4 linked regions of the Arabidopsis thaliana genome follow. The protein of the gene in region 3 purifies or fractionates together with the protein of the main gene of each other region. This does not show direct contact. Each region holds a gene or a part of one and is shown on either strand. Other genes may lie near its edges. The genes, in order: PGRL1B, PSAG, LHCB4.3 and AT5G19760.

What was found.
Region 1: the proteins of LHCB4.3 (region 3) and PGRL1B fractionate together in Arabidopsis thaliana (co-fractionation; one large-scale study listed by BioGRID). This does not show direct contact.
Region 2: the proteins of LHCB4.3 (region 3) and PSAG fractionate together in Arabidopsis thaliana (co-fractionation; one large-scale study listed by BioGRID). This does not show direct contact.
Region 4: the proteins of LHCB4.3 (region 3) and AT5G19760 fractionate together in Arabidopsis thaliana (co-fractionation; one large-scale study listed by BioGRID). This does not show direct contact.

The regions. Positions count from the first base shown.
Region 1 is NC_003075.7:7,173,297-7,181,899, reverse strand, and holds PGRL1B (PGR5-like B), read left to right. Parts: upstream 1-4,011; 5' UTR 4,012-4,190; coding exon 4,191-4,356; intron 4,357-4,726; coding exon of another isoform or gene 4,727-4,772; intron 4,773-4,854; coding exon 4,855-4,967; intron 4,968-5,054; coding exon 5,055-5,151; intron 5,152-5,239; coding exon 5,240-5,340; intron 5,341-5,444; coding exon 5,445-5,501; intron 5,502-5,627; coding exon 5,628-5,704; intron 5,705-5,805; coding exon 5,806-5,857; intron 5,858-5,963; coding exon 5,964-6,074; intron 6,075-6,307; coding exon 6,308-6,405; intron 6,406-6,490; coding exon 6,491-6,560; 3' UTR 6,561-6,574; intron 6,575-6,662; 3' UTR 6,663-7,014; downstream 7,015-8,603. Other genes in the region: AT4G11970 (YTH family protein), read right to left, coding at 1-166, 259-494, 587-677; AT4G11950 (transmembrane protein, putative (DUF1191)), read left to right, coding at 7,641-8,603. UniProt on the Arabidopsis thaliana protein: Ferredoxin-plastoquinone reductase involved in cyclic electron flow (CEF) around photosystem I. The homodimer is probably not involved in CEF.
Region 2 is NC_003070.9:20,799,979-20,806,431, forward strand, and holds PSAG (photosystem I subunit G), read right to left. Parts: upstream 3,472-6,453; 5' UTR 3,404-3,471; coding exon of another isoform or gene 3,379-3,403; coding exon 2,896-3,378; 3' UTR 2,692-2,895; downstream 1-2,691. Other genes in the region: AT1G55660 (FBD, F-box and Leucine Rich Repeat domains containing protein), read left to right, coding at 716-1,765, 1,853-1,993, 2,075-2,362; AT1G55673 (uncharacterized protein), read left to right, coding at 2,993-3,403; AT1G55675 (uncharacterized protein), read right to left, coding at 3,876-4,202; AT1G55680 (Transducin/WD40 repeat-like superfamily protein), read right to left, coding at 5,010-5,423, 5,497-5,583, 5,772-5,877, 5,959-6,050, 6,157-6,267, 6,355-6,453. UniProt on the Arabidopsis thaliana protein: Not yet known.
Region 3 is NC_003071.7:16,740,875-16,748,012, forward strand, and holds LHCB4.3 (light harvesting complex photosystem II), read left to right. Parts: upstream 1-4,753; 5' UTR 4,754-5,009; coding exon 5,010-5,522; intron 5,523-5,626; coding exon of another isoform or gene 5,627-5,671; exon of another isoform or gene 5,672-5,753; intron 5,754-5,998; coding exon 5,999-6,316; 3' UTR 6,317-6,550; downstream 6,551-7,138. Other genes in the region: AT2G40095 (Alpha/beta hydrolase related protein), read left to right, coding at 2,233-2,512, 2,636-2,916, 3,513-3,581. UniProt on the Arabidopsis thaliana protein: The light-harvesting complex (LHC) functions as a light receptor, it captures and delivers excitation energy to photosystems with which it is closely associated.
Region 4 is NC_003076.8:6,677,326-6,685,744, forward strand, and holds AT5G19760 (Mitochondrial substrate carrier family protein), read right to left. Parts: upstream 4,730-8,419; 5' UTR 4,521-4,729; coding exon 4,404-4,520; intron 4,000-4,403; coding exon 3,916-3,999; intron 3,671-3,915; coding exon 3,609-3,670; intron 3,505-3,608; coding exon 3,143-3,504; intron 2,636-3,142; coding exon 2,421-2,635; intron 2,323-2,420; coding exon 2,266-2,322; 3' UTR 1,981-2,265; downstream 1-1,980. Other genes in the region: AT5G19750 (Peroxisomal membrane 22 kDa (Mpv17/PMP22) family protein), read left to right, coding at 1-148, 353-440, 717-811, 967-1,039, 1,130-1,222, 1,333-1,419, 1,722-1,802; TUA3 (tubulin alpha-3), read right to left, coding at 5,436-5,751, 5,843-6,351, 6,463-6,662, 6,740-6,954, 7,037-7,149. UniProt on the Arabidopsis thaliana protein: Catalyzes the transport of dicarboxylates, such as oxoglutarate, oxaloacetate, malate, and succinate, and of tricarboxylates, such as citrate, isocitrate, cis-aconitate, and trans-aconitate by a counter-exchange mechanism across the inner mitochondrial membrane.

The sequences.
Region 1 (8,603 bases), on a different chromosome or scaffold from region 3:
ACCGCAACCATTTTACTTTAAAACTACGTCCCCAGGGATTGTTTTTACCACCTCCCTGACTCCATATCTGGTCTCGCCTCCAACCCACAGGAGACAACATCTCTGCATACCCTTGGAAGAATCCGCTCATGTTCACGCTGAAGATTAAAATCACTCGACCAGATTTCTACACAAAGACTATAACCTCAGTATACCAGAGAGGCTGACAGTAGATATAAGATTATAGAGCGGTGCAAACTAAAAAGGAGAGATTCTTACATGAAAAGCGCCTTCCAATATTGGCTCATTCATTACTTGAGTAGCCCAAATCCCTTTCTCAACTGAAACTTGAATATTATCATAATTCAGACTTTTGATGATGAAATATCTCGTTCGATACCCTGGTTTACTATTCTTATTCGCCTTTGCACTTTCAAGTTGATCAGGAAAGTTACGTCGATCAACATCCACCTTTGACAGTTTATGGTCTTCCTTGCTTCTGTAACTTGTACTCTCTGACAAAATTACAACAAGAGACAGACAAAATAAAACGCAAATCTCCATGTAAAAAAAAAAAGTGAATAACAAAACATGCTTCAAAGTTTACCTGGATCATCAGAGTTTCCTAAATCTTGTTTCCAATCAGTCAAAGACGAATCGACAACAGAAGCATTTTCCTTAGCAGTATCAGAAGACATGCCTCTTTAAAACCTATATTAACACACAAGAACAACAACACTCAATTAAAACGATAAAACTTGACAGCAAAAGGAGAAAAATGAATATCAATCAAAAGCAATAAAATATCAATCACCACCACAAACAGAAGTCACACTAAGCCATTTAAAAAACAAGAATAAAACATGTATTGACTCAAATCAGAGTGCAACTATAAACATAACCAGAAAAAATCTCACTTTACATGTTCAAATTATCTACACTCCAATGATAAACTAGTGTAGTTAGTAAGCATTTTACCAAATCAATTAGCATACTAACAAGAAGTAGTTAGTGATCATTACTCATTAGTCTACTACAATGATAAACTAGTATCCATGAAACTAACTTCGAAAGTTCAACACTAACCAGAGAGATACTATTTATAATCGAAATGACATAAAGTAATTTTCTTCACCTAATCAAAACAATTCAGTAGAAAACCTAACTCTTTCTCTATTTCTTCTTCCCCATAACCAAACAGAATGTCATAAAGCATAACAATTCAAAAGAACTAGTATCAAATTAAATTCTGAAACCCATTTCTTCCTCTATTGACTGTGCCCCATAACCAAACAGAACCCATTGAACAGCCAACAAATTACAGTGTGAGAATATGAACAACATAGAACAGTACAGTTACCAGTAGAAGAAAAAAACGAACCTTGGATTATCAAAAGCTTTTGGGATAACGAATGAGAAAGAACACAAGTGAAGAAGAAAATTCTATTTAAAAATCCAAGAAAGCCCTAATCTTTCTCTGTTCGCTTCTTCTCTGTGTTTTGTATTCTTATTTTGTTTCTTCTTCTTCTTCTTCGTCTCTCTCTCTCTCTGGACTTGGGCTCTGACAATGGTAGGGTTACGTGTAGGTGAGGAAAGATGAAAATTGAACGGACAAGATGCGATTAGTGATATAATCTAACGGTACAGGATTTGGCTGTTAAAGGGTTAAGTGAACCGCTGGTGGTGTATTGTTAAGTAAAGATAAATGGGCTACCTTCAAATTTCTTTTGACGTCGAGGCCTACTTCATTATTAGGCCCACTCACATACGATCAATTACCAAATACCTAATATGACTTTATTTAAAAACTAGTTGAGAAGTTAAATTTGTACTAAACAAAATATATACTTTGGGTGCCTAAAAACTTAAAATCTTTGAAAATTTAAGCTATCCAATCAAAATAGTACATATTGAAGGGGTTGTATAATACTCAGTCCACAATTCATTTGGTTTTATTATATTATAGAAACAAAAATAATAATTAACCAAGATAGGAGAAAAAAAACTTTGAAAATAAAATAGAAAAGCAAAGAGTTCAAAGTAAACTCTAACCAAATTAAAAGATAAAAAAAGATATAAAAGCATTTTATATTTGGTTAGTTCACCAAATAAAATCTCAAATTCATCGAGTACATCCAAGATTTGGGGAGATTTATGTTGATTAGTCCATTTAAAGTAAAAAAAAAATGTTAGTCTATTCTGACAAACTATTAATGTTAGTAGATGAATAATCATGCTATGCATGAGTTGTTGTTTTGAAAATTGTTAAAAATATGTTGTATGTTCTTTGTTGCTAGTTTGTGTAGTTACATAAATATTTAGATTCATCTTATATAGTTACAATTTTTATGCTTTGATTCATCTTTTGACGTAAAATATCAAGTATATATTTTTCATGTGTAATATAATTATCTATATACATAAGATCTTAATCTTTTTTTTGCTATCATAAATACATAGAATAACAATATAAGATATATTGATATAATAGTTGTAATTATAATTGAGTTATACATTAGCATGATTTTGTATTTTTCAATTTTTTTGAAGAAATAAGTTAATAGTATTGATGGAAGATTTAATGATGTGGAGGACTTTTGATTTTCTTAACTTAATTTTGCTAAAATTTTTATTGAATAATATAAAAACACATGTAATTTTCTTGTATGATAATGTGACATTCATATGGAGAGAGTTAACCAACTTTCATATATATATTTTTTTCGATTCAAAGTAATTCTATGACATAAATTTTGTGAATTATTTGTGCATTATAAACTTAAAAATTTATTTGGTTATTTACATGGGACACCCGTGTATCGAAAAGTAGAGAGAAGATTGAACAAAAAAGCTAACAAACTTTATTTATCTCAACAAAATATTGTTACAAGCGTTAGTTAGAACTGTGTATCATTAAGCTTATATATATTTGAACTTAAGCTCACTTAATCAAAGTTAACCAAATATTAAACCAACATTAAACCAGCGAACCATACATCATAATACGCCTCTCTCAAGTCTTTATCTTCGAAGTGTCTGGTTTCCGAAGATAAAAACATCTTCTTGAGTAAATGATGAAATGACCCCGGATGTAGTGGCTTTGTGAAGTACAACTATCCACAATTTTCATTTATAATATCTAATGAGAGCATATCCGACAATGTTATAAACATTTTCTATCGATTTGTTAGTGGTTTACAAACCACCAATGACAATTTATTTCATGATAGATTCATTGTGTTTTAACTTATGGACAACCAGCATCACAATGATTGTTTTTGTCTATGGTTTGAGTCACAAGTCCGATTCATAATTGTTTGTAAATAAATATTTTTTTGTTGACTAATAAATATTATATTACAACTTTTTCTTGCAAATTACTAAAACTCAAGATTCTTTTTCATTTTTTCAAACATATATATATATATATATATATATATATATATATATTACAACAAAATTCTCTTATAAATTATTAAAATTCAAATTTTTTTATCGCAATTAGTTCCTTAAGAGAACTTATAAATAAATTAAGTCTTACATACAAAATATGTTTTCAAAAGAGTACAATGTGTTTGTTGGTTTTGCTTTCGTGCAATATCATGAAATATGTTTATGGTTTCTTAATTATTTATACCAATAGGTGATTCACCACATGATGATGCATATGTACAATTTATCTATTATAATGAGTTTACTATCTTGACTCCCACAAATCAAAACCCTTATTTTTCTTTACCGTTGTCCGTTGAGATGATAAAATAATAAACTAAAAATGATTGTACATATTTTTGTTATGATTTGAGTTAGAGTTTTTTTTTTTCGTTTATTTCAATTCTACGTAAAAAAAATTATATAAAGAATTCATTTTATTTGTGACTAATAATATCTAAATATTATAATACAATATTTGTTTTTGGTAATTTACCAAAATTCAAGATTTTATTCTTATTTTTTTCAAAATCATGACGTGGAACGCTAGACGATCCAACTTCGCTTATCTCCTCCTAATTTTCCCTCCAATTACACGTTGAAACAAAACAAAACAAAAAAATCAGAAGGAACCTGAAACTATCTCACACAGTAAAAAACATCACCATCTCAATTCTCAACCACACAAATCCAAAGCTTCTAACTTTTTTTTTTGTTCTTCGTCCCGGACAAGAGAAAACAACGATCTCACTCAATCATCGGCGTGAGGGATAAAGACGATGGCTTTTACTCTAACAATCCCTAGATTTTCTGCAATTTCTCGCAAACCCATCACTTGTTCTTCTTCGAGGACACAGTGTCCTGCTCCCTTTACCCATGGACGATCGATTTCTCTCAGACGAAGACTTACCTTATTGCCCCTTAAAGCTTCTACTGATCAATCAGGTCTCGATTTTTATTTGCCTCTTTAAAGTTTCGATTTTTTTATTTGTTTTTGCCTCTGATCTTTCTTTGGGAACGAAATTGGTGTGAAAAGTTGAGATTTTTATGATCATAGAAGATAATTAGATAAATGATTTCCAATTTGTAGCCTTTTTAGGATTAAAATTTGTGTGTAGCTTAAGGTTCTTAAGTTATTAACTCATCGTTATGTGATCGAAACAAAAAAGCACTCAATCTTCAAATTTAGTTGAGAAAAGCTGTTGTATTGTAGCTTTGATTTTGTCTCTGATCATTGTTTGGGAACACAGTGGCTTTTGAGAAAGTTTTGATTTTATTCAATCATAGAATAAAATCACTCAAGCTTTAATTCTAGTTAAGAAAAGTTGTTATATGGAACTTTTTTCCTCTGTGGATTTTTAGTTTTTATACTCTAATCCACTAAAAGATTGCTCCTTGAGAGTTTCCTTACTTCTTAAAATCATTTTTATGACTTGTCTTCAGGTCAGGTGGGTGGGGAAGAAGTTGATAGCAAGATTTTACCTTATTGTAGCATCAACAAGAATGAGAAGAGAACTATCGGTGAAATGGAACAAGAGTTCCTCCAAGCGATGCAAGTAACACATCAAATAAAGTGTTTTTATCATTAGTATGGGTTTATCTCTATATAATCGAGGATTGTTTCTGTTTCTTTTCTTTTGCAGTCGTTTTATTACGAAGGCAAAGCGATTATGTCTAATGAAGAGTTTGATAACCTTAAAGAAGAGTTGATGTGGGAAGGAAGCAGTGTTGTCATGCTAAGTAATGAACACTTATGATTTATAGTTTTGTCAATAATCCATTCGCCTAGGTTCTTGATTCTTGATCTAATTTTATCTATGTATTGTAGGTTCTGATGAACAAAGATTCCTTGAAGCTTCAATGGCTTATGTCTCTGGAAATCCAATCTTGAGTGATGAAGAGTATGATAAGCTCAAAATGAAACTAAAGGTTCTTAATCTATTTATACTTACAAATACTATTTCTTAGTTTCATCCATCTTGTTACATGTGTAATTTGGACAAACGTTATGATTGTTTCTTTGGTTTCTGTAGATGGACGGCAGTGAGATTGTGTGTGAGGGTCCAAGATGCAGTCTTCGTAGTAAAAAGGTAAAAACTCTTAATTGTTCGGATAGCTCATATATTCTTTGGACATTACAGAACATAACATTAGATTCATTGTTTGGGACAAACTCTAGAGATGTTATAGACTTGTGGACCTCCTTGATTATGCAGGTTTATAGTGATCTTGCCATTGATTACTTCAAAATGTTCTTGTTGAATGTACCAGCAACTGTTGTTGCTCTCGGACTGTGAGTACCTCCGGTTCTGTTCCTCTCTCAACTTTCAAATCACATGATCTTAGCTTATGTTAGTTAGTTTAAAATTGTTGTTTTCTTCAATTGTTCTCCAGATTTTTCTTTCTTGATGACATTACTGGTTTTGAAATCACGTACCTGCTCGAGGTAAAACCTCTTTCGACTATTCTACTATGGTTTGGAGAATATATACTCGTAGTAATTGTTCCAGTATTCATGCAACTGATTAAAAAACAAAAACAAAAATCTGCAGCTTCCGGAACCATTCAGTTTCATTTTCACATGGTTCGCTGCGGTGCCTGCAATTGTATATCTGGCGTTATCACTCACCAAACTGATCCTCAAAGACTTCTTGATCTTGAAGGTAAAAACATTAATCATCTTCCAAGATCAGTTCATGAAGTGGAAAAATAAAAGTTATAGAACTAAATCTTGTTTTCTCAGTATCAAAAATGCTTAAACAAGAGATTAGACTTGAGATAATAATCTATTTTGTGCTAAACGCTACAAATTTGGATTGGTATAGTGCCAAATCCTACGAGTTTTATGCGATTATTATGAAATGCTTTTAATTTTCGTGGAACATATCTTTCACAGGGCCCTTGCCCAAACTGTGGAACAGAGAATGTATCTTTCTTTGGAACGATACTATCCATCCCCAATGATAGTAACACCAACAATGTCAAATGCTCAGGGTAAGCTTCTCAGCTGTAGACTCGAATCGATCACACAAATTGTCTACAACGTTTCTTGAAGTCTTATGATTCTTCTGGTTTTTAGCTGTGGAACGGAGATGGTCTATGACTCAGGTTCTCGTTTGATCACATTACCAGAAGGAGGGAAAGCTTAAATCTAAGAGCCAAGGTTTAATTCTTATCTCAACTTTGATTTCTGATGAAATCTTTCTTGATTCAATGGAAAATTCAAAATTTTAGGGTTTTCTTTTTCTCAGGGTTATGTAGAAGTGTATGTAAAATTAATACTAACAAATGAAGAAGGTGGAGAAATTGAAGAAGAAGGAGAAAAACCAAAGTTTGTATGCTGTTTTGTATAATCTTCAGATCTTTTCATGTAGCTCTCATTGGCTTGTGTTGTGTTTGTAAGTAAGTGTGAGGCACATTCAAAGAAAAACATCATATGATTACTTCTTTGAGAAACTTTGCTCTCATTAGGAAAGTAAAATAATTCAAGAAATAAGCACAACCTTGTGTAGTTTTGAAATAATACTTGTATTTTTTTTGTTGTTATAATTTTGAATGTGTTCCATAATATAGTTTCGTTAATCCATGTGAAAATCAAATATGATGTTCTAAATCATTTATAGGTGCTAGTCAAGGCCAGTCCAAGACTTTTTGACTTTTGTGATTCTATAGTTCATTTTAGTATGATTTCTATTAAGAAGCTGATAGATAGATAAAAGTGGGGAACATGTAATAAGAGTTAAGGATTATTACAAAGGAAAAAGTCATACAAATATTATAGCATGCCAAATTCTATCTTTTTAATAAGAAAAAGGTGCAATGATGATGATGACATCGTCGTCGTCCCATGCCCTCTATATCATCATTTACCTTCCTTTTTTTTCTCACCGTTTAGACATTTCTAAATGTATCATTTTAGGATCGAAAGAATATAAGCAATTTACAAGACTACAAAGTGTGTATAAAGTAAAATGTCACGAGGCTAGAAGAAAGTAGGATAGTATTCTAAGCATTATAAAACATCGGTCATGCTTATTCATTATTATGTCTTAAGGATTAATAAAAGATACATAGTATATACTATATACTGATCATGTCTGTCCCCAAAACACATGCCAACAAAGTAAAACACAATCAATATACTTCTCTCTCTCTTTCTTCTTGATCACTTCTCTCTGCAAAACCTAACTACTTCTTCATTCATCTTAGAATCATTGGGTCCTCTTCACATGGGCTCTATACCATTTATCTTCATCATCCTTCTTTTTCATGTACATAAATCCAAATCTCAGACCATTGAATCAGCACATTTTCTTGATCTTATGATCAGAGATTACACCATTAGAAACTTCAACATACATTTCAAGACAGGTGCTATCCAGAAAGTCCATCTTCCTTCGAATTTCTCCTCCATTGATATCGCCACAGCTAAGTTTAGATGTGGGAGTTTGAGAAGACACGGTGCAAGAATTGGAGAGTTTCACTTAGGTCCGGGCTTGACCGTGGAGCCATGTGTTGAGAGAGTGATCCTGGTGAGACAGAACTTGGGGTTTAACTGGTCTTCTTATATTTACTCAACCGGTTATAACTTAACCGGTTACAAATACCGGCTTGTGTCTCCTGTTCTTGGTTTATTGGCTTACAATTCAAATCCGGACGGTGTTGCTGTGAATCCTTATGAGGTTAACGTAATGGGCACGGAACAAAACCCTATTTTGATCAAATTCTTAAGCAGTGAGGCAAGTGGTAGCCCTAAACCTAACACGAAGAAGAACTCATCTGTCTTGTGTGCTTGCTTCACAAGTAACGGTAACATAACGTTTAGAGAGCAAGTTTCAGCTTATGTTTGCTTGGGAACAAGACAAGGGCATTACGCGCTTGTGATTAGAGCTCATGATAGTGGCGGTGGCGGTAGTACGGTGGTAACACCGTCGTCATCTCCGGCTTTGACTGACGGTGGCGGAGGGAAATTGAGCCGGTGGAAAGTGGCGGTTGGGAGTGTGATAGGTTCAATAATTGGAGCGTTTCTGTTAGGGTTATTGGTGGTGGCGATGGTAGTGAAAGGGAAGAAGAAAGCGATGAGAGAGGAGATGGAGAGGAGAGCTTATGAAGAAGAAGCACTTCAGGTTTCAATGGTGGGTCATGTTAGAGCTAATCCTAATGCTTCGAGATCAAGAACGATTCCAAGATTT
Region 2 (6,453 bases), on a different chromosome or scaffold from region 3:
AATTAAGAGGCAATCAAGATCAAATCCGTGAGTTAGGGTTGTTTGTTATATAATCATAGCTATCATCGAGTGAGACTTTCGATTCACATGAAAAGTTTTATTGATTTTTTATTTACAACAGAAACTCCATATATTATGTAGTAAGAAAGGACTTCCTCCTCGCTTATTCGTTGATTTTCAGTTTTCTTGCTTTCCTTTGTTGCTTTTTCTTTTGATCTCGTTTCGATTAAGGGAGAATCTAGATCGAATTACAACACATCTCTAACCAAGAGCATAATAGCTTAAGGTTCTATGATGAAATGAATCTCAAAAATTTATTGTTTTCATGTTTTTAAAACTTTTTTTGACATGGGACCATGTTAGCTTCATGAAAATGTCTTTTAGGTTAAGATATTTACATTCTTACATGTTCGTATTCGGACGCCTTTTACATTGCAAAAGTGTTACTTATTTCGAACTTATTGAATATATGGAACTTGAACACTTGTAGGTGTATGCTTATTCAAGATTTACATGAATGGATGGTACGAATGTAACGTGCACAGTAAATGTTAGATCTAATGTTTTAGTGAGTATTTTCCAACGAAATGTGTGGAATTCATGTTTATTACAAACAATTTCTTTTAAAACATTTCCTTCATTATTGATTATTCATTAAGAAAATTAATTAAGAGAACAAACCTGTTCGTTTGCCCTAGACAAGGCAATACATCTTATGTTCCTTTGTGTTATTATTCCTTGTCTATGTTCTTACTTATGTTCACTCTTTTCTTGGTTACTCGGACAGATTCCAAGTTTCTTATTCGACAAGATAAATGAATCTTGGTTAACATCAACGAAAAGAAACGTGGAGATTGTGAAGAATTTAATGGACAAGATCAGTCAGTTGCCTGATGAATTGCTCGTGAAGGTACTATCATTTCTTTCAACAAAAGATGCTGTAAGCACGAGTATCTTATCGATGCGATGGAAGTCTCTTTGGATGTGGCTGCCTAAACTGGAGTACAATTTTAGGCATTATTCAGTGTCTGAAGGCCAGGGGTTGGCTAGATTTATTACTTCGAGTCTGCGAGTACATAAAGCTCCGGCTATTGAAAGCTTGAGTCTCAAGTTTAGGTATGGAGCAATTGGATCAATTAAACCTAAAGATATTTATCTCTGGGTTTCACTTGCAGTTCATGTTAGCAACGTCCGTGAGTTAAGTCTAAAGCTTTTTAATTTTGCGGAGCTTCCAACTAAATTGCCCAAAAGCTTATGTAAATGCAAATCGATTGTGATCTTGAAACTGAAAGACGAGATTCTCGTTGATGTTCCTCGTAAGGTATGTCTCCCCTCCCTGAAAACATTGTTCCTTGGACGTGTGACTTACTCGGATGCAAATTCTCTTCACCGACTTCTTTCCAACTGCCCTGTTCTTGAGGATCTAGTTATGGAACGAGATAAAATTGACAATTTGGGGAAATTGAGTGTGATTGTCAAGTCCTTGCAGAGACTAACCCTAAAGATGTCTCGTCCTTGTCATCTTGATGGGCTTAAGATGAATTCTCCTTCTTTGAAGTATTTGAAAGTCATTGATGAAAGGCTAGAGAGTGATAGTGATGATGAGAGTGACAGTGATAGTCCTCGATACTTCTACGATTTTGAAGATATGCCTAAGTTGGAGGAGGCAGATTTTGTATTGACATTCCAAAATATCAAAAAGTTCTTTGGATCAATCACATCTGTTAAGCGTCTTTCGTTATGCTTGGGAGTCTACACCGAAGAGGTAATCTGTTTCCATCACTCTATCCATCTCATTGTTGAACAATAAACCAGGTTTTCTTGAAGTTGAATCTTTTGTCATCTTATGCAGTCTTTATATCATGAGGGTCTTGTCTTCAACCAGCTTGAACAATTGAAGATATGTTCATGTGATTCAGATTGGTCAATTTTACTTGCCCGATTACTCAAAAGCTCTCCCAATTTACGAGAGCTCGAGGCTTACGTGATAGAAGTAAGTTTGTTCCTTAGAGACCTATACTCTTGGTTCAATTAACTATAATGTTTAAGCCAAACTTCTCATGTTTGATCACAGGATCATCCAAATGGGCGTACGGATCTACCAAATCAGTGGGACAATCAGCTGAATTGTGTTCCTACATGTTTGTTGTCCAGTCTCGAAACGTTCCGTTGGAGTGAGATGCATGGATTGCTGCAGAACCAGATGGATGTAGCTAAATATATCTTGAAAAATGCTCGCTGCTTAAAGTCTGCGACAATCTTTTTTCCGACAACATATGCTCAAGAAACAAGAGATGAGATGATCGAGGAGTTGTCACTTTCTTTTCAAGGTCCAGAAACATGCCAAGTCTTCTTCCATTGAGGATGTGAATCATAAGGATTCAAACTTTCATTTCCATAGACACTACCCTCCTTTATTACAATGGTTTTTTATTTGCAGCCGTAACTTGATCTAAACTTAAGGTTTATGTCTTTGTTTTTGGTTTTCTTTTTGTATACTTTATCTTTGAGCATACTGTTTTTGTTGAGACATTGGCTTTATCTTTCTGAGATCTTACATCTAGACTCTCTCTTAGGTATGAAACTAGCTTCACCAAATCACCTAAGTTTTTCATACGAACATTAGCTCAAACTAAATCGAAATCTTGAGCGCAAGTAAAAATGTGATTTCATCTCTCTGTTTCCATAGTGTATATACTATTATGTTCTTCTTATAAAACTCTGCAAACCAATCTTTGTAAATGGAGAAATAAAACATTTGCAAAAAGAGGGACAAGTCTTAGACAACAACAACAACAACAGAAGAAGAAACAGAGATAGAGAACAGATTAGATAGCTTGCAACACAAGTCAAACATATACATATACATATACGAGAGATTGACATTGAAACGAATCATCCAAAGAAGCTTGGGTCGTATCCATTGCTGGAAGTAGCCAAGATGTAGTAAGCAACGATGTGTCCAATAGAACCCCAAGCAAGAACATCAACAATGTTGAATCCAATTGGATCGTTCGATTTCAAGAGACTGACGTACTCCTTAGCACGATCATCTCCAGCTTCGAAATGGGTTTTTCCGTTCTGCTCCGGTAAGCCCTGTTTTGCTACGTTCTCTCTCTGGAAGTTGAAGAAGACGAAACGGCCGAGGAAGAGGGAGAGACCTGTGCTGAGACTTATGACGATGGAAGGGCTTAGCTCAGCTCTCACGACAGCGGAGGAGGATTTTCTCCCGGTGGTTGATAGTTTGGGTAGGGCGGAGGAGGAGCCACCTAGACGGAGGGGACGAAGGCCATGGAATGAGATGGAGTTAGGGTTTTTGTGGGAGATTGCAGTGGAGAATGTGGTTGGTGAGAGCAAAGCTGATGCGCTTGTGGCCATTTTGCTTCTTCTTCTTCTTCTCTAAGAAAAATTTCAGTAATAGAAAAATGAGTGGTTTTGGATTTATGATCTGAAGGTTTGGTTTTGGATTCTGGCAAGCAGGAGAAGAAGCAGAAGAAGATTTTGTTTGTGAGGATACGATTACGGATGGATGATGTGGCATTCTCTCGTTGGTTCTTTCTGGATTATGAGATTTTCAAAGAAATATTTGCGTTCAAACCCTTGTAATTTAGTAGGATACACTTTGAAGAACCTACTATCTTTTTTTTAAAAGATTTAGTCCATAATCTACACTTTAATAGTCTTTTTTCTCATAAAGTGTTTGTATTTTATTTATAACTTGTGTTGTAAAAACTCAATATTACAGGTCTTGATACATATGAAACTAAAACCAACAAACTTATAACCATAGGCCCAACGAGAAAAGCCCAATCGAGAAACATAATCCTTTAAGGAAGTAAGCTAAATAATTCCCGACTGCAAAGCCACGTGGAATGCTAACAAATAAAGTTGAAGACGTGGATAGATGATTCTTCGTCACCGTTCATCGCCGATCTGTTCAGCAACAACCGGAAAACTCCAAAGCCACCGGAAACAGCTAGAACTTTAAACACAGAAGTCCATCGGTTTTTAATTAGAGAATCCCAACAAACATCATCATCAAATTTGCAAAGAAAGGATCTTCCAAAAGACAATTGATTCCCGAATTCCAAAAACACAGCGGCACAGATTTTACAAAAATTGATCAAAGCCAATAAGAGTCCATAATTCATTGAAAAGCTATGAATCAATTCCTGTAATTGCAAACTCAAAAGTAAAAGCATCGAATAATACACTTCATTAAGCGATAATTCGCTTCAATCGATATTATCAACACATCCCTAATAAAATTTATTGTAAGTAAATAAACAACTGGAAGAAAAACATAACAACGGCGGAGACAAACCCGAAATCCGGTCAAGACGATACTATGTAAGCTACTGCTTCCGGAGTGGTGCCGACCAAGACGACGCTAAGGAAGCCATCGCTGTCAGAAGAAAGCTAGCCAACTCCGCTAAAGTAGTCAGAGATGCCAGACACGAGCCCACTATGTGAGGAACATGAGCCTTCGAATCAAACCAGAAGGCAAAGGTTTGATCGGAAAGTTTAGCTTTCTCTAAAAGATATTAAAGAGAGAAGAGAGAGAGAAACTTACCATTGATACACTTTAATAGTCTAGGAAACAGAAATATTATGAAACATCATGATATATAATTTGATCCAACAATCGGCAGAAACATCTCAAATTGAGTTCCTCTACAAGTGACCATAGCCAAATAACGAGCCACAGACTCGAGTAAAGTTGTCTCTTTGCCAAGAGTTGAGACTTGATGCAAACTCACCCGAACCTCATATACTTATGTACAATACACGAACTCCAACACTCATACAAGAAATGAACATTAACTAACTAAATCCGCTCTCTGTGACAACATTCCTACTAGTACTTGCACAACACATCATTTACACCATTAGAGATCGACTTGAGTTTATGTTTTCTCTTTTCTCGGGTTTCTTAGTTTAACAGAGCGACAGGAGAGTGCAGCAGCACATATGTATCGGCTCTTTTATTCCTCTGGTATGTCGGGTGATCATAGAAATGAATCAAGGTAGGAGTAGTTGTGGCGCCGGCTATACTCAATTAGACTTCCGTAAGTGCGGTCCCAAACGCCTATGAAGAGTGCTTCTGTGTCGGGGCTAAATGATATTCCCGAGATCTCCCCAAAGAAGTCGATCTCTTGCTCCGTTTCATACCCGTTTGAGACATCATACACATGGACAAAGTCAGCCGGCTCAGCCATGGCCATGTACTTCCCATCAGATGTGTAGCGAATGGATCGGATTGCTCCAAGGTTACCCCTCAAGACAGCAACAGATTTTGACAGGTTACGAATGTCCCAAACCCGGCAGGTCTTGTCCTGGTTACCTGTGGAGAACGTGAATCCATCTGGGTGCCATGCTGATGCAAAGGAAAAGTCCAGATGTCCTGATAGCGTTGCCAGTGTCTGTAGAAAATTCCAAATTTAGTTAGAAAGCATATTTATTCAGGGATACGTAACACAGAGATCGTTTCTGTACCTTTCCAGTGTTGGGGTCTACCAGAAGGCTTTCAGGGTTGTCTCCCACAATCGTCAACAATTTACCATCAGGACTTAAAGATGTGTGCTATCAATACAAAAACCCCCTTTCGTTAAATAATTTGGGGTGCAATTACATTTACAATTTCGTAATGTAAAAGAAGATATCAGATTACAAAACGTATTTGTAACTGAAACTTACTGCTACAAGCACTACAGATCAACTTATACCAAAACAAAAACAAAAAAAAAATCAAGGAAAAAGTAGGGACTTACATTCACCGGCCATGGAAAGCGAAACTGGTTAACAAGCTGGTATCTCTCCATATCAAAATCTCTGACTCCACAATCATTATTCGACGCAGTAAAATGAAGTGCCCCACTGCAGACAGACAGACATCAAAAAATCAGTTAGAAGAGACAAGTTGGCAAATACAACCTCAAGCAAAAGACATGCAAATACCTGGGTTTGTTATAAATCTCAATAGCATTGGTTATAGCATTATCATCATAAGTAGTACGTGAACAAAAGCTCACACCAGGTCTATCAAGATGCTGAAAATAAAATCAATGTGGAAAAAGATGAAGTTCCTTGATTAGAATGCATGTAATTGTTGTGTGAAAAACTAAAAATCCATGATTGTAAAACTCTAGAGCTTACCTTGCATATAAGTTCTCCTTGAAATCCACCGGCAACTAAAAATTTATCTCTCACTGCGAGTGTACTCACTTGAGTCTTTGTAAATCCCTCCAACAAACTTCCAGGATGTTTCTGCACCCACACAAGAAAAAGACAACAACCATTAAACTGATGTAGGTATTTATAGAGGAATCTTATATCATTCAGGAAGAAACTAACCTCAGATGGGGAAACATGACCTTGAACATTGAGAACATCATGCTTTCCGGATGTCAAAGTAGAATAGTGGCTCACCAAATATTGTGACATAAGGTAGAC
Region 3 (7,138 bases):
AAATTTATTTTATTTTTTGACAAATGTAAAATATTTTTGTGAGGTTTTAGGTTTATAATTGTGCCACTATTTTGGTGGAGTATAATCAAAGGAGAAAGCTTTATAAGCGACGAGTGCATGTTTTTGGTGAGCTGATATGTCTTGACTCTTGACTTGAGAAGTTTCTTCAACTTCCGGTCAGTTTCGTAGGCCTATAAACTCTTGACTTTCAGCTCCTCCCTCTTTATTTTGGATGGTCCTACTCTAATTATTGATATGCAAATCTGACCGTTGCTATCACAAGAAACAAAACAAGCAAAGAGACACATATTTGTTGTTCGGTTAATTAATTCTCATCATCGGAGTTTGGTGACAATTTGTAATTATATATTCCAGGTAAGAATAATCTGTCACTAAATCTAATTTAGAATGTTCAGCTGGAAAACAACAAAAACGAAATAAGTTTGGAAAAATTCTATTAGAACATATCCTGATTTCCGAAATTTCCTAAGGTTTTGCTTAACAGTCAATATATACATATATCATTCCATTTACGAGACAAATTGTAAATGATCAACAATTGACTAGTACATACACTCACGCAAAGATATACGCGTACAAAGTAAAGAGTTACGACTTTTTTATTAGTTTGTTTGTGTAATAACTTGGCAATGCTTTCTTTATAACAAACAAGTAAATTAAATTCCTATCGAATGTTTTGAAAAGTTTGATAAGAAAAGGCAATCATTTCCTATCTTTATATTTGGTAGCATTAGACGAGAAAACAATGAAAGATCACAATCAAACACAAAATAGTTATTAAAAAAATTGGATACGATAGTTCACTGTTTCTTTTAGTACAATGAAACAAAAAAAAAATAAAAAAAAATAACACCGTAAGATATAAGTTAGGGTAACAAACGGCATGCATGTGGTCACATGGCTGAAATCGGTCGGTTCCTCCATTCCCGTATATGTTTGTGTTAACGAATAAACGAGTCTCGGTTCATTTCTTCGGCGGGAGAGGATGGGTCTAACATTATTTTACTAGTAACAATTTAATAAAACGATAAACATATATTGTGATGATTTTAAAATATTCCAATCCATTATATATTATATACAAATGAAATCAAGAAAGAAAGAAAAAATGTTCCAATTATCGAGTTTTGTTTATGCTTCACGTTATTTAGGTTTTACCGTTATTACACGGAGGCTGAAATCTGAAGACTCCGAACACTATTTTGTTTTAATTTAATACACCAGTCAAAGGATTCAAAGAGCTGGAAGTTTCTCTCAACATTTTTTTTTCTAGAATGTTTCAGTTTCCAATTACTATTTAAGATTTTTCAGTTGGCTAATTTTTATTTTATTTTAGTGTGAATGAGAGAAATAAATAATTTTACAAAAAAAATTATTAAGAAAGTAATACAAATAAAAATTCAAATATGAATAGCCTCATTTTTGTGTGATTATGATTAACATTACATGTATCCTTAATTTTAAGAGGGTTGAGAGCGTTTTATCTATTAACGAGACATTTAGGAGATTCAGATGATGGAAGATCAGAGCATCTACCAAAAAACTTTGCTTACTAAAAAGTATTTAGGAAGCAATGTTTTGGAAGTTTTACCTCAACAATATTTACGAAAAAGCTTTCTTTTGATGTTTTTAAGTATTATTACTCAGCATATAAAGAAACAACTGAAATTTATAAATAGAAAGTGGAAAATAATTAACTAACCCACAAATCCTATATTCATCAAAATTATGTATGAGGATGTAATTTCATAACATATAAATTGTGGATCTGTATCAATCGTCAATATCAATAAAAAAATTAGGATAGATCGACGAATGAATTGACTTTCATTCATCTTACGATTCTTTTAAAAATTAATCAAACATGATTTACATACAAGAAAATTAAATCAACAACGAAAACATTTATAGAAAAGAAATATTCAAAAGATTTTTATAGAAAGAATAAAATTTAATAATTATATTATATAGAAGAAATCCATAGGTAAAAAGATATAGACAGATAAAAATTACCAAACTAATCCAAAATTCTATATTCATATAAATATTCCAAGTCCAACAAGGAAAAATCATAATAGTATAAATTAATCCCTTAGTATTTATCTTAGCATCATCATCGCCGTCATCGTCACTTTGTCTCGTCCACCTTTTAAAAACCCTCTCTAAAGTCTCCGAAACATCTTCTCTCTTAAACAAATCCTCTCTGATTCGATGGGTTTTAGCAAAGAAGAGATTAGTAAAACCAGAAAGCTTTGGTCATCTCTATGGAGAGGAATCAAAACTATATTCGTTTTGTTCACAATGTTCTTCTCTTTTCTCCTTGTCTCTGCTCCTATCTTCCTCGCCGTCGCCGATGCTCTCCTCCCTTCCGCTCTCCTCCACCGCTTCTCTTCGCCGGCGACTCTCTCTTCTCATCTCACCAACTACGATTTCCGTCACTCCCTCATCGATATTCCTTTAATCTCAATCATTAGATCCGCTGTTATACTCTGTGAGTAAAAAAAAGATTCAAACTTTACAAAACCCAAAAAAAAAACAGAGCAATTGCTCTGTTTGCTCTGTTTCTGAAGAAATCGAAAACTCATTTCTTTAGTTTGATTTTTCGTGTAAACAGGTGTTTATGGACTCTGTGACGGACCAAAACTATCGAGAGGACCGTATCTGACAATAACAATGATTTGTTCAATATCTTCTCTAATCTACGTTTCGTTAAAAGCTGCGTTTGTGTTCGGTGAGCCAGCGATCGGAGACGGAGGAGGAAACTACTTCAGAGCGGCGGAAGTGGCTCTGTTTCTATGCTCGTCAGTCTTAGCCATAGGTCACATCGTTGTGGCTTATCGAACAAGTTGTAGAGAAAGAAAAAAGCTTCTCGTCTTCAAAATCGACATTGAAGCCGTAAGTCCACTTCTCCATCTTCTTTTTTTCCGCCGTTACAGAAATTTATTATTTTATTATATTTGATTGATAATCGATGTAGGGCCAATAATACCAAGTTGCATTTACTTTTTTTCAAATCTAGGAATGAATTAGATTTTTAACCTGCAATGGGTCAGAGTCAGAGATAGCATGTGAATGTATATTAGTCAATGTTGAATATTAAACACATTTTTACACATTTGGTCCTTTTGTGATTCTAGAAACTCGATGAGATTTGTCTTTCCGATATGTTTGGTTAGGAAAAGACTCTACTTGGTGAGAAGGTTTTCAAATGAAACTAAGAGAAAACAAAATTGAAGTTTGGATTGGAAAACTTTCTTATAGAGTTATAGTTTTGTTTTGTAGGTTAGAATTTCATGTGGAAACCGTGTGGCATGTAACCTAATTTTCTTAGTCATTTTATAATAAGATAATATCCGACATGACACGTCACACCTCACGCATGCATGCTTCATGATTGTTTTCATGGAGGCAAAACCATCAAACCTCTTTCTTCGTTATAGTTATTATCACCAATGGGAAAACTAATGTGTTTTGATTGATCCATTTTTCAGGTTTCGGCTTGTAAAAACGTGTACCCGAGATACCAAAAGATCTTATTACAACAAGAGAGACTCAAATAGAGACGTATTTCCAAGAGAATCAATACTTGTAAATATATACACATACCTCAACATGTAAATAAAACTAATATATAAAAACATACGGCGTATAAATGTAACTTCTCCTTCTGCCTTTCGGCGTTGACCCATCAACTCCTTCGCTTTTAAGTTTCAGGTAAACCAACCTAATCTCATCCTCTTCCAATGTTCTTGCTTACGTATTTGTTATTCTTCTTCTTTTTTTGAATAGAAATGATTTCTATAATATTATTAATTGGGAAGTGACATTATGGACGTTACAAAGTTGAGAACCCTTTTGCTGATAATGTTTGTTTATTTGTCTTTTTTTTTTCTTTAACAGAAGGATCCAAAGCAAAAGGAATGGAGATTAATTATATAACCTATGCTTTTTTAAATGAGACATTTCAGATGAACTGGCAGTTGTTAGCTTTAACATTATATTAGTTAGGGCGATTTGTAAATAATCCAGAGTTCCTCAATGAGAAAAGAAGCCCAAGGCTGTCTCTCCGTTTTGTATATATGTTTATGTTTGTATTTCTTTGTGGTTTTAATATATGTTTTGTAATTGTAATTTGTAAGCATAAGCACATAGTATGTGATACGTCCGCGTGGATTTCTTTATACGTCACCAAAATCTCTAATAGAATCGTAAAGCAACCTTTTTACGATCATTATCTATTTATCTTAACTTACATTCTAGATATTTGCATTAATCAAAGATATCTCAATCTATTTAACAATCTTATAAGAGAGTCTTTGTCTATTGCAAACTCTAACTTCCTATCTTTTCGTGTAAATAACTTAAGACTGTGAGGATGTCTAAACAAACCTTACCAAGTATAGGGAGAAATAGACACCAATTCGGTTTGATTTACTCAAACCAAACACCAATTTGAAAGCTGAGAGGCATTTTAGTTCCAGTTATATGATAAAGTACTAAACACAAACCAAAACCAAAGTATTGGCCTAAAATATACCAAGCCAAAGTTGTAGACCAAACTAAATGCTGGACTTACTACTAGACAATATCGGAAACACGATTTAAGAGGCATTTTGTAGTCGATTAATGGGCTTCTATAAATGGGCTTTAGGGGGACAGAACTTCAACTGGGACCAAAATATTTTCTCTTTTGTGAAATCGACAAAAGAAATCCTTAAAAACGAAAGAAAACAAAAGAAAGAAAATACCTTAAATGCAGACACCTACCATAAGGACGAAAGAGAGAGTGCAACGTCATTAGAAAGTAGCCAGGCCACAAAAGAAAAAAGGTAAAGAGAGAGACCAATCACAGGAGATAACGCTAAGATAAGGCTTCTTACATTTACCATCACATATAACATAACGTTACTATTATTCTAAAATCCAAAAAAACTATATGTTATAACATTGGAATCATCAGTCTCTAAGCAGTATCACACCAACTCAATATGGCTACCACCACTGCAGCAGCAGCCTCAGGTATTTTTGGGATCCGGATTCAAGATCCTAGACCTGGAACCGGTAGGGTCCAAGCCCGGTTCGGGTTCAGTTTCGGAAAAAAGAAACCGGCTCCACCGCCAAAGAAATCAAGGCAGGTCCAAGACGATGGAGACAGACTAGTTTGGTTCCCCGGCGCAAACCCGCCGGAATGGTTGGACGGATCGATGATCGGAGACCGTGGATTTGATCCGTTTGGTTTAGGTAAACCGGCTGAGTATCTTCAGTACGATTTCGATGGACTTGACCAAAACCTTGCCAAGAACGTGGCGGGTGACATCATCGGGATCATCCAAGAATCTTCGGAGATCAAACCGACGCCGTTTCAGCCGTACACTGAAGTCTTTGGGATCCAACGGTTCAGAGAATGTGAGCTGATCCATGGAAGGTGGGCCATGCTTGGCACTCTAGGCGCCATCGCCGTAGAGGCTCTTACAGGAATTGCATGGCAAGACGCCGGAAAGGTACACTCATACAGTCGCCGCTAACGTAATTTGACACGTGGACAGTCTCGTCATTAGTTGAAACTAAATTAGCATTTGTTAAATTAAAAAAAAATGAGGCATAGGTGGAATCAAGCCAAAAAAACATGCATGCAAATTTTAACCACTAAAATGGAAATAGGTTTAGGCTTTTGGTTTTGGAGTTTTGTTCAGATTATTTGGAGTCTGGTATTTCGAGTTCTTTTGATTTTTGGATTTAACAAATATGAGAAAAATAAAGAGAAAAATTAATTTTAGTTAGTACTATATGTTTTAGTTTGTTTCAATGCATTTAACTGAAAGTGTTAAATTTTCCAATGATTTTAATTTTTTATTCGGTTGGATTCGTAAAATTGAGTTTAGTTTGGTTTATGAGATAAAAAATTGCTTTGCTATTCGAGTTATTATAAAACATGAATTCGATTTTGAATTTATGCATTTCGGTTTGGTTCGCCTAGGTGGAATTGGTGGAAGGATCATCGTATTTGGGACAACCATTGCCGTTCTCGTTGACGACGTTGATATGGATAGAAGTGTTAGTGGTCGGATACATTGAGTTCCAACGTAACTCTGAACTGGATCCAGAGAAACGGATTTACCCGGGTGGGTATTTTGACCCGTTGGGACTCGCGGCTGATCCAGAGAAGTTGGATACTTTGAAGCTGGCTGAGATAAAGCACTCTCGTCTCGCTATGGTCGCATTTCTCATCTTTGCTCTTCAGGCGGCCTTTACCGGCAAAGGCCCTGTCAGCTTCCTTGCCACCTTTAACAATTAGTTAATGAACCTTTCTATCTTTATTTTATCAAAATAAAATTATACTTCAAAAACTGTATAATGCATGTTACGCTATACTTATAAAGAAGTCTTTTATTGTTTCGTGTCGTACTATCGTTGGAAATTTGGTTGTCACATCAATCGTTCAAAACCGGCCTCTAAATGTTGGTCTAGTGGCTTACGGAAATAAATATCGAAGTATTTATTGTTTATGTTCTAAACTAATATACCGTGAATATTCAACATTTTTATAAAAAAGATTATCATATCGAAATTCGATATACTTGACCATCCAATAATGGCTTGTATTGCTTTTTTTTGAATAATCAAATCCTTCTGTCGTATTCTTAAGACCATACTAGTATTATCTTATTTTTGATAAAAGATAAGATACGATATTGGAGCCAAAAAGTAGAGTTAAGATATGATATTTTCTTGATTACTAAATAACAGAAGGGAGAAACTATTGTTAGTTTGAGCTTAAGTAAGAAAATATATGGTTATTATGGTTTAATTTTGCATGATTACTACTAATAACTAAATATTCTGTTTATCTGATCTCATTATACATGTAGATACTATTTGTTGCTTTTACAACAATTGTAGCAATGAAAGAAAATTAGAAATTGAAGAAAATCTTGAAATGAATAGACAAAGGAATAAAGAAAGTGTAAGAAAGCAATAAAATAAACATGAATATAGAAAATGCAATTGGCGAAGAGTACACGTTGTTCCACTTTTCTGGAGAAAAAAGTGAATAATTGAAGAAAAGACGTTATACCTTCCCCATCCACATTTTCTTGCTTAACTGCAGAACAACACC
Region 4 (8,419 bases), on a different chromosome or scaffold from region 3:
GGCATCTAGTCCGGGTCTCTGCGGTCCCAGGTGGGAATTCAGGTGGCTCTGGCGGGTTAGGTGGTTCAGGCGGTGGTGGTGGTGGTTCCGGCGGCGGTGGTGGTGATGGAAGCGACGGAAAAGGAAAGAAGTGGTCACTTCTCTCATGGTAATTTTTCTTACTTGCTCCTGTCACTACTCCTGTTCTTGTGTAAAGATGTTTCTTTGAAAAGCAATTCATTGAAGCAGATGTTGGAAATTTTTCTTGGATGTGTTAATAATTTACTCACGGAACACTTTTTTTCTAGTATGATTCTTTGCTTTTGACTTGAGCATAAACACACTTTGTGTGCCTTTTTCTATGGTGCTTCAGGTACCAGGCTCTTCTCTCAAACTCTCCTGTTTTGACCAAAGCTGTGACCGCAGCACTTTTGAACCTCGTTGGAGATTTGATCTGTCAGGTAACTCTCTCATTTTTGTGCTATCTTTGAAGTTTGGATTCTTCACTATTCAGGATATATCGAGATAAAACAGTATTCATGAGCTGCTGCATTATGTATTTCTGAACAGACAGACTTTAACTTGAATTGTGCTATCTCTTTTTTAAAGTTAGAATGGAAGCTAATAGACCCAAAATACAGGATAATGTAGTAAAGCCCCATTTTCTTTATAATGCTTGATCGTATTCTGCTAGATATGTGAGCGACATTGCTTATTCGTATCACTTTTGGTTGCAGCTTACTATCAACAAGACCTCATCGCTGGACAAGAAGAGGACACTCACCTTTACCTTCTTGGGCTTAGGGCTAGTCGGTCCAACATTGCATTTCTGGTATTTCCGTGGACCTTTCACTCGTATGACACCGCAAAAGCTAACTATATTACGTCTCTGCTAGTGGTTCTTCAGTTGAAGAGACTTATGCATCCATTGGTATATTACTTATGCTTATTCTCTGTTCTCTGAAATCTCTCAACTCCATCCATTAGGTATTTGTATTTGAGCAAAGTGGTGACAGCTTCTGGATTATCAGGCGCAGTTATACGACTTCTACTGGATCAGGTAGCAAAGTTTCCTGTTCCCAGTCTAACAATTATGTTCCCATCTTGCTTCCTCTGTGTTAGCACTTAACACCAAAATTTGTATTTGCAGTTTGTTTTTGCTCCTATTTTTGTTGGAGTTTTCTTATCAGCAGTTGTGACACTTGAAGGAAAACCATCAAATGTCATACCGAAGCTACAACAGGTTGGATTAAAACCTAACTAAACTTAATATTTCCGGTGCAGGAATCTAAATTTGATACTTTGTATCTTTTGCGGTGTTCTAATTGAATCCATGAATTGCTGGTTGTATAGGAGTGGACTGGTGCAATGATAGCAAATTGGCAGCTATGGATACCATTTCAGTTTCTTAACTTCAGATTTGTTCCACAGAACTACCAGGTTTGATACTAAACTCTGTGACTACATGAAACGGGAGTCTGAAAAAAAATACAATTGGGTTAAGATAGATATGCTTCATACATAACGAATAACGACCCACACGCTGTTAATCCTCTGCTTAGTATAATCTTTGAGAATTTATTACGCATTTTCATGTTTTTGAGCCCTTGTTAAAAACATCTTTGACATGATGAGCTTGAGATGAATTACGCTTGAATGACATTAGCTTCTAGCTAGTATGCTTAGCAAGATTTTCTTTGGCTTTGAGGATGAATCGATGTCTTATATATGAATTATTGCAGGTACTTGCTTCAAACGTAGTGGCTTTGGCTTGGAATGTGATTTTATCATTCAAAGCTCACAAAGAAGTTGTTGCAAAGTAGACATGTTTCTTACCTGGAGCCTAGAGGTGGTTGCTGGATTGTTATCGGCAGAGTTTTGGGGAAACGGTCTTGTCTGCTGATGCAAATGTTTGGTGTTTCGAAACAATTATTTGGGAACCCTGCACTTGACATTTTCTTAGAGTTGAAACAAGCTTTTCTTCAAGCACTTCAAATATTTCCCCATCATCAATGTTTCATATATTTATTGTTTCCTCATTCAGAGAATTTTTTTAGTTCGTATGAAAATTTTGAAATCTCTGGCTATGTGTCTTAAACTTCCACCAAAGAAGAAAATTTAAAATTCACCGGACCAATCACCGACCGAAACAAAAAATTAAAGTTCAAACAGCTACAATAATATGCTTTTAAGGCAGGTTATGTATATGATTAAAAAGCAAATGAACACAATTCCAATTGTGTTTTCGTTCTTCTCATCTTATTTTTTTGCTGCTGTATTTGTTCCTCACATACCAATCTTCTTTTGAAATTTCGTAATCTGGTTTAGGAAGATCCATGTCATCTGCCAAAAGAAAACCCGATCAACAACTATCTTAGAGGCAATCACGAAGTGGTAATTACAATAACATAAACAAAAAAGGGAGATAAGAGCTATTATACCATGACGTGAGGGGCAATCCTGACACAGTAAACTGGGAAACCCGAGTAAAATTTCAGAGGTCCTCCTTCTTTTAAGGTTTTCATCGCACAATCGAGCGAACCTGTGTATGGATACTTTCCTTGAGCATCCGGTTGCATTTTCTGAATCTGAGTTTTGACAAAGTCAAATGGCAGACTGCAAGCCGCAGCGCAGAACCCAGAAACAGCACTTGCTCCTGTTAAAGTAAACAAAAACCAAACTCAGAGATCTATTTTAACTACAATTTATCATACAGAGATTACATGACCATATGAAAATACTGATAAAGGTTTCTTGTTAAGTCTAGTGCAGAACTAGTGTAACAAGCCTAGGAAGTTGAGAAAAGTGTAGTTTTGCCAACTGAGCGACCTTACAATTAGTAGCTCTTAAAAGGGAGTAAGGACAACGCAATGGGATCCATTCTGGATTGGTCTTAGATCTGGGTTTGGGCAACGGTTGAGAGTTTAGAGAGTCCTCTCATTAATAAAGTATTTTCCTTGGTGTAGTTCTTGGATAGATTGTATTAAGTGAAATACACATTTAATTTATGACAATCTAACACTCGTGTAATCAGGAGATTATATGCTACAAATGTAAATTTCCAAGACGATTGATTCTTAGGATCCTTGACTCTAACTGCTATCTACCTGCTCACAGAAAAAATATATTCTTACTGTATGAGAAACTTGGAAGAGCAGCTTACCTACGACCGTAGACATCTCCCCGAAACCAAGATTATCTCTCATGTATTCAGCACTTTGATCATAAGATGCAAGCATTCCCATGTTCAAAGCCATAGCTCTGACCACAGTGGGCCCACACCCTTTCCAAAGTGCTAAAACTCCCTCATCAGCGCTAATACGGGTAAGCGCATGGAAAGCATTGGTATAATTCCTGCGCTGAGCTAGCGGCAAAGTATTATCGGCCTGCATTCTGATAAGTGCTAGATCGGCTGGACTACCGACGCAAGCACCAATAGCACCAGCTGTCAGACCACATAGTGCCTTCTGATACAGCGGTAGAGGCTTTCCATCATTAGACTCAATTGCCTTTGCAGTCAGCAACCTAATAAGATTGACAGAAGAGAGGATGATTTATCCATAACCATAAGGCAATAAAAATCTATTCATCTGGATGGGCTCAAGACGAAAGACGAATGACTAACTTACTTGAATGATCCAAGACGGGCTGTCGTGTAAGTTGCTTGCCTCAGCAACCCAGCAGATAATCCCTATTAAAAAAAATTAACATCAAATAAGCTCAGGAGACATCTTCAATGGGGTATAACTAATGTTGTTGTTGGAAAGACTGTTAGATAAGGAAATTAATTCTTTGAATAGCTGAGACTCAGATCCGGAAATGCAGAAATCATATACATTACAAATCAACAAAAGTCATGAACATATCAATAGAAAACATACTACACAAAACGTACATCTTCAAGATAAGTAATGCATCCAGAAATGCAATTTATACCTTGTAGAAGGCACCAACGCCCTCATTCTTAAGCATGTTGGTGGTTATACTGGCTGCAGATCCCTGACCAAGTTGAATCCTCACCTTCACCAACCAGAAACAAAACAAAGTATTAGTTAATTACATTCACATCATTTAAAAATCCTATGAACACAGGCGAAGAATCACACATTGTGATGAACCTAAGAACGTTATTCTAATCAAAATCCAGATCTGAACTAGAACATTTCATCTAAACATGTATCAATAGCAACAATTCACACTCAAACGAGTCTGACTATGTTCCGAGCAATGAAATTTGATTATAATAAGCCAAAACAAAAACTCAGATCTGAGAGATAAAATCTACAGACTCGGATCTGATGAACAACATTTACGGATTTCGTAGGTATCAATACCAGCAAATCAAGCAAGAATTGTTAATACTAACGAGCTTAGACATAGAGATGGGTGATACAGAAACGTGTATCCGTAAACATTTGACAGACCTTAATCATGTCGATCGGCTGGATAACGCAAGTAGCGAGCATACCAGAGGCACCGCCATTGACGAAGGGCTTCACGGTAGTCCAGACACTGATTGGAGCTTTCTTCTCTTCCGCCATCTCTCTCTTTTCTTTTGTTTTCGTACGGACTCAAACGCAACCAGAAGAAGAGATTCCTTCCGCGGAGAAAAAGAGAGAGAGAAAGAGATTCACTTGGTGGAGAGGAGACGATGAAGTGTGAAGCTTATGGGCCTTTTATATTAACACCACCCAACTGAAACTAAATTGCACCAAACCCTTGCCTTTTTAATTTTTATTTTTTTCCATTTGCATATGAGATCTGATCTAAGCCAGACATATTTTCTAAATTTATTAATTTGGACTTTACTTTTCACCATTCGGATTTTACGCAATCCAAATATTTAGAGTTATTTATTACGCATTCATATGAATTTTAGATTTGACATTCGTCCATTTCTAATTTTCTAGTATGAAGTTGAAAATCGTTAGTATTCTGAATTTTTTGGGTCCAATAAATTCTAATTTTTTAAAAAAATTGATCTTCTGTATTTGTATTTTGTATTTGTTCAATAATTTTTGGCATTTTTCACGCCGTATTTTAGATAGTGGACCAGTGGAGCAGTATTTCTGATGCAATTTGATAATTCTGATGCCCTTTTGTGAAGATCAACGTGGTTTGTTAACATTAGTTGAATCTCATAAATGTATTATTAGCTGATACGACAACAAAGCATATACAGAACGTTGATAAACGTTAGCGCACCGATAGACGAGATTATACTTCAAGGAAAAATGGACAGTTGTAAGAAGATTATCAAAGTTTGGTACAACAAAAGCTTGATAATGAACTCGGGAACTCGCAATGGTCGCTCTACCAATGAAAATGTATCCAACCGAGATAAAACACGAAGACCGAACGAATATTTTACAGGATTTAAACAATCAACAGAATCAAAAGTGAAAACAGATAAACGAAAAAACTTTTTTTGGTTGCAGTTTTTTTGAGAAAAGGTGTCAATAGTCTTCACCTTCATCTTCTTCATCGTCTCCACCTTCAGCACCAACTTCTTCGTAATCTTTCTCCAGTGCGGCCAAGTCTTCACGTGCCTCAGAGAATTCACCTTCCTCCATTCCTTCACCAACGTACCAGTGGACAAATGCCCTCTTCGCATACATGAGATCAAACTTGTGGTCGATCCGTGAGAACACCTCTGCAACTGCTGTGTTGTTACTGATCATACATACAGCTCTCTGAACCTTAGCGAGGTCACCACCTGGAACAACTGTTGGAGGTTGGTAGTTGATTCCACATTTGAACCCAGTTGGGCACCTGCAAAACAAAACCCATGCCAAAGGAGTTATTATATAATAACAACATGAAGGTAGAAACAGTAGCAGCTTTATCCATTTCTAGATCATACCAGTCAACAAACTGAACAGTCCTCTTTGTCTTGATGGTGCCAACAGCAGCATTAACATCTTTGGGAACAACATCTCCTCGGTACATCAAACAACAGGCCATGTACTTTCCGTGTCTCGGGTCACACTTTGCCATCATGCTAGCTGGCTCAAAAACGGCATTGGTGATCTCAGGGACTGATAGCTGCTCGTGGTAAGCCTTGGCGGCTGAGATGACTGGTGCATAAGATGACAGCATGAAATGGATACGGGGATATGGGACAAGATTGGTCTGGAACTCAGTGATATCCACGTTGATGGCACCATCAAACCTCAAAGATGTTGTCAAGGATGAAATGATCTGTGATATCAACCTGTTCAAGTTTGTGTAGGTTGGCCTCTCGATATCTAGGGATCTGCGGCAAATGTCATAGATGGCTTCGTTATCCAAGAGGACAGCTACATCCGTATGTTCAAGAAGGGAATGCGTTGAGAGAACACTGTTGTAAGGTTCTACAACAGCAGTAGAAACCTGACATCACAGAGGAATATGCATTAAAACCAAGTTTCATCCAAATTAGACCACTATAGAAACATGTCATGTAAGAGTTTCTACTTCAGTGTCTAGCAAAAGAAAGAGTACCTGAGGAGAAGGGTATATGGTAAAACCAAGCTTAGACTTCTTTCCATAATCTACAGACAAACGCTCTAGCAACAGAGAACCCAATCCAGAACCAGTTCCACCACCAACAGCATTGAACACCAAAAACCCTTGTAAGCCAGTACAGTTGTCGGCAAGTTTCCTCACACGGTCAAGACATAGATCCACAATTTCCTTCCCAACTGCAATTACAAGAAGCATTCTAAGGACCATTTCAAAAACCCTAACAAGTTAGAACAAGCAGAAAGTGGATTCTCACCAGTGTAATGTCCTCTAGCGAAGTTGTTAGCAGCATCTTCTTTCCCAGAAATGAGCTGCTCTGGATGGAAAAGTTGACGGTAAGTACCAGTACGAACTTCGTCGATAACGGTAGGCTCGAGATCAACGAAGACAGCCCTAGGGACATGCTTCCCAGCACCAGTCTCGCTAAAGAAAGTATTGAACGCATCGTGTGCAACACCAACTGTAGTATCACTGCAACAACGCAAAAGACTCGTATCTCAAAAATCTTCCGATCCACAGAAACAGAGTACAAAGAGTGAATTAGGGTTTATACCTCGGCATCATTCCGTCCGGCTGGATTCCATGTTCGAGACAGTAAAGCTCCCAACACGAATTTCCGACCTGGATCCCAGCTTGTCCGATGTGAATGCTTATGATTTCTCGCATCTTCTCTCAGTAGAAACCCTAATTTCGAGCGATTCGCTTCTTCGACGGACGGAGAATTGAGGAAATGAGAGCGGTGAGCGAGATCTTCTTTTTTTCCTAATTTCCATGATTTTTGTGGGAAATTGATTATTTATTGAATGAGATTTGATAATTGGTTGGGGTCCGCCAAGTTGTGACAGCCTGCCTTTGGGACTGGGCATAGACAAAATACGTGAGATTCGATCTGGATCTAGATCTGGAAGGTGTCGATTTTTATCCGGTTTAAATAACTTACCGGAATTTAGGTATTTCGTTAGTATGAGTGAGGTAAATAATAGCTTAACCGACCTAAATCGATATTATAGGTTAAATTAGGGTTTAGTGGTTTAAATAACTATTGGTTATAGTAGGATGTTTTTGTAAGCGCCAAACAGAAAAGAAACGTCATGTAAGGTTGTCTTTGTTATAAGATTTTGATTCTCTTAGTGCATTTATTTATTAATTAACTTACATAAATATTGACTACGTAAAACGTGTTTTCAAGATTTGAAATCACAAGTTCTGAGATAACCCCGTATAATCCTTTTAATGACATAAGTAGGAGAATAAAAATTTGCAAAACTATAAATTTGTAGAATGAAAAATTGCATAATAAAACAAACAAATATATGTGTCTAAAATTAAATATACATATAATATGTATTTACATAATGAATTTTTATTTTTATTTTCTATGAAGAAAACAAAAATTCTGTATTTTTGCGTTTTAATAAATATTATGTTAATTTTCTTAATTGGTAACATTCTTATATACTCGTATTAAAAAAATGTCATTTTGCAATTACGCGTATTACTAATCGGAGCCAAATATTTTTATATTTTTCAATGAGTGGATAAAGGTACGACCAAAATGATGGTTTGATAACCAAAATGATTGTAATGATACGAAAGATAAACTCATATAAATTGATCATTCTAAGATTGTATTGGATGAATTGAGATAGTCAGCTAGATTAATTCTCTAATTGCTAAGTTAAGTTAGATGAATTGAGACAATCAGCTATATTAATTCTATATAGCATATTTTTCCTAAGCGGTTTCAGATTAAAGATGTCAAAGTGGGTTAAGCAATTGTTTAGATATAATGGATCAAGATTTCAAGATAAACGATTATCAAATCCATTGAATTCATGCATGCGGTTAGGAAGATAGCTTAAGTAGCAATTCAATCCTATAAATATAATGTTTTAAGGGAATTTTCATCCATTCAAACTAACAAAAAGACAAAAAA